Linked DNA regions of Diceros bicornis minor. The protein of the gene in region 2 interacts with the protein of the main gene of each other region in a pairwise test. Links are inferred from orthologs where the notes say so. Each region holds a gene or a part of one and is shown on either strand. Other genes may lie near its edges. The genes, in order: RCN3 and SUFU.

Region 1 (3,904 bases), on a different chromosome or scaffold from region 2:
TACATCCAACCTGGAGCATTCTGCCCCGACCCAAAACATAAGCAGAAGCCTCTGCTCTGCCCATACCTACTTCCCGAAACTTGGTGCTGGGATTTCTGAGGTTGGGAGGGACTGAGAACCCCCAGTCCCCTGTCATGACTCAGATGGGGTAGAGCGTCCATTCAACATCTCACATTTTCTGGCCGCAGAATCACCAGCCAGATCCTCGCTGCAAGTAGTTGGAGTCGTCATCGGCATCTTGCTGCTCACGGCAGTGGCCGCAGGAGGAGCTCTGCTGTGGTGGAGGATGAGGAAGGGGCTGCCAGGTGTGGGGCAGGACGAGGGAAAGGACCCGGAAAGAGATGGGCACACAGTCCTGGGGGGGACAGAGATCTAGAGAGAGAGAGAGAGACTCAGGGAGAAGTGGGGACAGAGAACTGGAGGGAGAAACAGACTCAGAGGGGGATGGAAACCCACAGAGTAAAACAGAGAGTGAGGGTGAGAAAGACACACACCCAGGGAAACGGGGGGGAGGGGCAGTCAGAGACCCAGAGGAGCTCAGAGATTCTGATGACCTCCCTTCCTTCCTCTTTCCTCAGCCCCTTGGATCTCTCTCCGTGGGGACGATATAGGGGCCCTCCTGCCCACTCCTGGCCTGCCCAAGGATGCTGACTCTTAGAATATAAAATGCATTCCCAGCAACTTCGTGACCCCATCCCCCAGCCTGGCTGCTACCAGCTAATGTAGTCAGGTCCCTTTCATGCCGTGAGACCTCGTGATATCCTGGTATTTCTGAGCCTCCAGAAGGAGTCCTGAGCCCGATGCCCTTCCTCTGGATTCCTCCTCCTGTGGTCTGCCTCAGTTTCCCCTCCCATATGTATAGCTCTTTTCCACCTCCACGTATAACATGAATTTGGGCCCGAGGCATTGTGTTCTCATCATTTCAACTTTTTAGGCAGGGGAGGTAAGAGAATGGGTGGGGGGAATAAATGGTGTAAGCCCTGGGCTTCAGATCTCTCCTGCAGCTAACGTGTTGCGTGGTGGAATCTCCAGTTTTATATACCAAGTCATGTATTTTTCATTCATTAAATTTCACAAATGTTTACTGAATGCCTACACTGTGCCAGGCATTTTGAGGAATTGTTGGCTGGAGTCTGACCTGAATCCTTCTTGGTGGATCAGAAGAGAAGAGTTGTTCCCTCTTTGAGGGAAGGGGTGTTTCCTCTGGCCCCTGGGTTCCCCTCTTCCTGAAACCATCCCCACAAAGGGAAAGAGATAAAAATACAGCTCCCATGAGGCTTTGGACTTAGTACAACTAGAGGTGGTCGGGGAGGGCGCCCCGACGCCTGCCGGGAGTTGTAGTTCTCCCGGGCCGCGTCACTCCGGCGTCGCCCACCCCGCCTGCCCGGGGAAGGGGCAGGGCCGAACCTCGTGGGCCGCGCTTTCCTTTGTGGACGTGGCGAGGGGCGTCCGCGGCCGGCCCGGCGCTCTCTGGCCCCGCCCCGTGGGGGCCCTCCTGAGCGCTCATTGGTCGGAGGGCGGGGCCTCTGCGCTGCCGGGGGCGGGGCCTGGCTGGAGAGCCGCCAAGTTGGGCATCTTTTCGGAGAACGCAGAGGGAGCGTGGAGAGCCGCGTGAAGCCGGATAACGGGGTAAAAAGAGGCGGGGGCGGGTGTCCAGGGAGGGCTGTCCGGGTCCACGCGGGTCGAGGATTAGGGTCCAGGCTGGAAGCAACGCCCGGGAGCCTGCCTGGTTTCTCTCTAGCCGCGACCCCGCCCTGCACTTAGCGTGGGAAGTGCGCCACGTCTCCCGCTTGAATCCCCCGCTTGCGGCTCTGGGACCCCTCAGAAGAGTCAGTCCCCACAGCTGGTTTTACCTCTGAGAACCCCGCGCCCCTTTTCCCCCATCCCCGGCCCTTCTTGAGCCCCAAACTTTGCAGCCAGCTACCATCTCTCTGTCCTGTTCGGGGTCCCCCCCCTCCCCTGCTCCTCATCCTCCTGTCCCGTCCCTGTCCTTTTTCCTGTGACCCCTGACTCCTAGCCTCCGCCACTCCCCAGGGACTGATGATGTGGCGACCATCACTTCTGCTGCTGCTGTTGCTGCTCAGGCGCGGAGCCCAGGGGAAGCCGTCCCCTGACGCCGGACCTCACGGGCAGGGGAGGGTGCACCAGGCGGCCCCTCTGAGCGAGGCCCCTCATGATGACGCCCATGGGAACTTCCAGTACGACCATGAGGCTTTTCTGGGACGAGAAGTGGCCAAGGAATTTGACCAACTCAGCCCCGAGGAAAGCCGAACCCGTCTGGGGTAGGCGAGAGATGGGGGCCTGGGGGGGGGAATTCAGGGTTGTAATTTTAAACAAGGAGGTCACAGGAGGCCTCAGAGAGAAGGTAATATTTGAACCGTGTAGGTATATGGGGGAATAGCCTTCCAGGCAGAGGGAAATGTAAGTGCAAAGGCCCTGAGGCAGGAGTGGGCTGGATGTGTTTGAGGAACAGTGAGGCCCGTGTGGCTGGAACCCAGTGATGAAGGGAGCGGGTGGGAGGTGATGGCAGAGAAGGAACAAAGGTCGTGCAGGGCCATTGGGACCATAGTGAAGATTTAAGCTTTTCTCTGATGAGATGAGAGCCATGAGAGGGCTCTGAGCAGAGGGAGGACGTGAGCTGACTTAAGTTTTAACAGAATCCTTCTGGTTGCCAAGTGGGGAACAGACTATAGGGAGCAAGAAGCAGGGAGCCCAGTGAAGAAGCAACTTCAATTGTCCAGGTGGGACACAAGAGACGATGGCGGCGAGATCAGGGTGGAGACAGCGGTGGTCGACAGGTCAGCTGCTAGGAGATCGTGCGTGGATGGGGTTGGGTGAAGGAGGGGTGGGCGAGGGAGGGCAGTGACAGGCTAACACATTGGCATAGCGCTACAATGCCAGACACTGTTCTAAGTGCTTTCATTTAATCCCCACAACCACGCTGTGGGGTAGATCCTATCATTTGTCCCCATTTTACAGAGGGGGAAACTAAGGCACAGAGAGGTTGAGTGATTTGCCCATGGTCACACAGCCAGCAAGAGGAGGCTGCGGGACTTGAGCCTCGAATTCCTGGCTATGGAGCCCATACTCTTAACCACAGCTCGAACCGCAGGGTACAGTGTGAGTCCTGGGGACAGAGCCAGCCCCCGACCCATCAGAACAGAGACAGCCTGGCGCGGGAGGGGGCGGTGCCCTGGGCAGGGCCGTCTCGGATTCGATCCGGGGACCGGGTCTCGGGGGCTTAGGGACAGAGAGGAGGGCTCCATGTGGGCCCTGTTAGCGGTTGGGCGAGGACCCAGACCAGTGGCTGGGCGTGGCCAGGGGAGACGGGAGGGGCCTGGGAGCCGACAGGAGCGGCCCGAGGGAAGGGGCGTGAGGTGGGAGCTCGATTTGAGATGCGGAGGCGCCCAGGATTAGGCTGAAGCACGGGGAGTGGGGCGTGCAGGCCCAGCCCGCGGGGTTGCGCATGGTGGTCCTAGGGCAATGCCTGACGACGGCTGGGGGAAGGTGGGGAAAGGGGCGGGGCGCAGCATGGGGCGGGGCTGGAGGGAGAGGGGCCTGCAATTGACGCGCGCAGCCATGGAGGGGGCGGAGCAGGGGCCGGGGTTAGAGCGGAGGATCCGAAGACCAGCAGAAACAGGGGAGAGGGCCGGGCCTGAGACAGCGAGAGGTCGGGGGCGCCATGGCAGCCGGAGTTCAGAGGGAGTCTTGAGACAGGAGCCCTGAGGGCGAGGGGCGCAGTGTGGCGCCTAGCCCCCTGACCCCACTCCAACTCGGTCGAGCAAGAGGAGGAGCACGTGCAGGATCGAAGGGCGGGGCCAGAGTGGAGGGTGTGGCCCTGGATTGTCGTAGGTCCTTCCCCCAACCCGGGCGTGTCCTGGGCGGCAGCTACAGCCATAGGCCC
Region 2 (3,904 bases):
TTTGCACTTAGAGAAAGATGTTATTCAAGGACCCAGAGCATCCCTCAACTTAATTCCTACAACACTTAACTCTGCAGGGCAGGTACAGGACTGGAGTGGCCCCAGAGCACAGGCTCTGCCTCTCTGCTTCTGCTCCCTGCTCACTAAAGTCTCCGCTTTCAGCCAGGATGTCCCTGCTGGCCAAGGACCACTAGCCAAAGAGCCACCCTTCTGTTGCAAGAAAAGGAATCCCAAGGTAACCTGGCCCACAGCCAGACCCAGGCAGCCTCAGTCTGTCATCCTGCCATGAGAACTGAAGAGGCCTTGTGGGACTCCAAATGTGAGGGATATCAATGAATTAATTTCAGGATCTTAATTACGCAACCCCCTTTGAATCTTAGAAAGAATCATTTGCTGAGCTGTCCCCTCTTACGTTTTTCTTCATCTAGGCAGCATTTCTAATTTCACAATCCTTTTTAGTCATCATTACATGCTGGCCCATCTCTGGCCTTCATCATTCACCGAGTCTAGACCATTAACAAGTTTGCAGCAAGAAGAAGAAAAAAAGTTGCCCAAACCAGTCTTAGTCCTTTGCACATGCTTCAATACCTTTTACACACAACTCTATCCTTCATGGCCAGTTGGGTGACATAAAAACAGTTGCCCAAGTCCGTGTAGGGATTTCTCCCTACACTCAAATGCGGCCTGAAAAAACAGTATGGCAGAGGCAGGCCCACTTTTCTCATGACACAATCCAACAGAGTTCATCACAATACATATTTAAATATAGAGGTGCAATTAGAATGGGTGATTAAGTTATCAAGAGCTGCTTTTCACTCAGAAGCTCTCTTCAAAAACTCCTCTCAACCAAAGAACAGTGTGCTTGCCAGAAAGAACTGTACCACTGGCCACACCTCCTCCGGCTACCAGACAGAGACAGGCTGCTCCTCGTGGCCCTCCCTAAGCAGCAGGTGGCTGGTCCTCAGGCCCTCCACACTGTCAGCCTCTTCACATCCTCCCATCGACACAGGGAGCTGGCCTCAGCCCTATCCAGCCTAGCTTCTGCCATCTCTGGAGGAAGTAAGAGGTTGTCATGTAGGAGAAAGACTCAGTCTTAAAGGGAAAGGTAATCAGCAAAGACATCCCCTTCATTCACTTCTACCTTGAGTCTACCTACCCCCTCTGCCACAGGCCAAGCAGATACCTGAAAAGTCTTCCAGGATTCAACAAAGGGACCATCTAATACAATGCTTGCATGAATGTGGTTCTGGACAGATTCAACCAATTCTTGTCAACTTTTGGTCCAGAAAGACCATGAAGACAGGCTCTTTTCCAGAGTCCCCACAACACCTGTTTTGCCCAGAGGCTGCAGGAAGAGACAGGTTGCAAACAGGAATGAGAAACTAGAAAAGACCATTCCTACCCCAAGGGCAGCCCATCTGTAAACAGGTCTAATCCTTAACAGAGCTACTTGAGGGTTACTCTCAGCTTCCCTGAGACACTGCTGCCTAAATCCTAAAGTTCGTGGCCAGGAAGTTCCTCTTAACATCACACTGCACTTCTTTCCTCTTTGTCTAACTCCCAGGTCTTCATCATTTACCGAGGTCTCCTTCAATCCTGACCCAAATCATGGATCTCCCTGACCCTGCCTGCCTCTGTTCTAGCCAATGACCTAAAGCAAAGCAGCTGCAGAGCCAGAGGAAGCTCTGCATGGAGAAAGAGAACTGTGCAGAGTAAGCAGAAAGTTTATCAGGAAAAGTTGCCCGGTGAAACTTCAAACGCAAAAGCATTGCACTGATATGATGTCTGAGCTCACTGGGAAGTATCAAAACGAGACCTCCTCCTCATCTCTTCACAAGCACGACGCTCACAGCTTGCTCCCCTCCTAACCCACAGGAGAGCCCGGGTCCCCAGACCGGCCCCAACCCTATGCTGTCTCGTGCCCTTTGAGCTCCTCCAGCCCGGCTCCTCCAAAGCTCTCTCATATGCTCCCCAGGCCCCGCCTCGCCTCCCTCATCCCGCTTCGGCCGCCCCTCCTTGGCTTCCCCTCGCCCACTAATGACCCCCTACAGGCGCCCCCTCCTTTCACCACGTTTACAGTTCCCTCTCTCCTACCGTTCCCCTCTCAGCTCCTACACACACCCCCAATTCACTTTATTCTCCTAATCTCAGTTAACCCTTCAGCCTTCCCTCCTTCGTTAACCCTTCGCTACCCACAGGCTCCGTTAACCCCTTTGTCCCCATTCGCAATTTGAGCCTTAACTCCTTCCCTCGCAGCAGGAAGCCCTCCTTCCAGTGCTTTAACCATTCTCTGTCTCCTCCTCCAACCTTGCAAATTACTTCGCCCCCGGCGCTTTAACCCTGCCCAGCCCGCCCCTGTCCGTCTCCCCGCGGCCCAGGGCATACCAGTACTTGACGATAGCGGTAACCTGGAGCGGGTTTGGCTGGTCAGGGTAAAGGCGGCGGCACTCTCCGTAGATGGCGTGCAGTCCCGGGGGGAAGAGCGAGGCGAAGGCCGGGGGGGCAGTAGGGCCAGGGGCCGGGGGCGCGGTGGGGCCGGGGGCGCCACTAGGCCGCAGCTCCGCCATCGGGGCGTGTAGGACGCTGGGGAAGCCAGGGAAGGCGGACGAGGCGAGAGCACTGACGCGCCAGCGGCGGACTCCGTGGGTGCGACTCCCCGAGGCGACGGGGGCTGCAGCGAGGTGTAGGCTTCGCGCCTGCGCACGGCGCACCGTCCGCCCTGGCAGTCGCCGCCGCAGAGACCGCCAGAGGGTGCCTCGGCGGCCGCGGGGCGCTCAAGGGGGCGGGGCGCCGGCGCGCCCTATCCCAGCATCCATTGGCTAGTGTCTGTGCCAGTCACAGGTAGGGAAGGCGTGACTTGACCATAGGTCCCGCCTCCCTCTGCCTGCGTTTGGGGTGTCCCAAGGCTCTTGGCCTCCCCCTAGTGTTAGGAGGAACCTAGACTTAAATAGAGATGTTGCGGCATGCTTCTGAGGTGCTAGGGTCTCACGAAAGCCGTGGAAAGTGCACCGACGAAAGGCTTCTCACTGTTTTGCTGACACGCTGCTAACAAGGATTTAAATATAAATCTGACAATAGATTGATTCATTCGTCCGTGTGGCATTAGTTTTATTTTATTATTATTATTTTTTTTTGTGAGGAAGATCAGCCCTGAGCTAACATCCATGCTAATCCTTCTCTTTTTGCTGAGGAATACCAGCTCTGAGCTAACATCTATTGCCAATCCTCCTCTTTCCCCCCCCCCCAAAGCCCCAGTAGATAGTTGTATGTCATAGTTGCACATCCTTCTAGTTGCTGTATGTGGGACGCCGCCTCAGCATGGCCGGAGAAGCGGTGCGTCCCTGCGCGCCCGGGATCCGAACCGGGGCCGCCAGTAGCGGAGCATGCACACTTAACCGCTAAGCCACGGGGCCAGCCCCTGGCATTAGTTTTAATAGATAACAAATCTGAACGTTACCTACCGTCTTTGAATGTCCATTGACTATATCGACTGACACTAACACCGCCAAATTCAGGGGTCATATTTTGAAATACCTATTTTGGAATTCTGTCAGAAAGTAACAAGAGTTAGGTAAACTAGGATCGATTAAAAAGACTTGGTAATTATTTAAAAAATGCTTTTAGTGAAGATGACAATCTCTTTTTTCTTCTGTTTTAGGCAGATGTCTGCAGATTACTTTGAGGAACATCATTATCTACTGTGGCCTGCCCTTCCCCATTACCTTGGCTCTCTGTAACTGGAAAAAAAGTTAATTTCGAAGGCACTGAGTTGGGAATTACTTTCCTGTTTACAATAACTTTTCATATAGTAATGTCTTCCACTCAATGATCTGGAAATTCCAAGAGAAAGGGATAGAAGGGAGTCCTGCTTACCAGTACTATTAACTAAAAGATCCCTGCAGCT

The links.
Region 1: the proteins of SUFU (region 2) and RCN3 interact in binary tests that used the Homo sapiens proteins (3 or more experiments, as listed by UniProt). The two-hybrid records come from large-scale screens. The link is inferred for Diceros bicornis minor from reciprocal best matches to the Homo sapiens genes SUFU and RCN3.

What each region holds. Positions count from the first base shown.
Region 1 is NC_080773.1:24,959,007-24,962,910, forward strand, and holds the start of RCN3 (reticulocalbin-3), read left to right. Parts: upstream 1-1,547; 5' UTR 1,548-1,629; intron 1,630-2,034; 5' UTR 2,035-2,040; coding exon 2,041-2,282; intron 2,283-3,904. Other genes in the region: FCGRT (IgG receptor FcRn large subunit p51), read left to right, coding at 189-305, 579-658. UniProt on the Homo sapiens protein: Probable molecular chaperone assisting protein biosynthesis and transport in the endoplasmic reticulum.
Region 2 is NC_080745.1:67,462,719-67,466,622, reverse strand, and holds the start of SUFU (suppressor of fused homolog), read right to left. Parts: upstream 2,712-3,904; 5' UTR 2,568-2,711; coding exon 2,386-2,567; intron 1-2,385. UniProt on the Homo sapiens protein: Negative regulator in the hedgehog/smoothened signaling pathway. Down-regulates GLI1-mediated transactivation of target genes. Down-regulates GLI2-mediated transactivation of target genes. Part of a corepressor complex that acts on DNA-bound GLI1.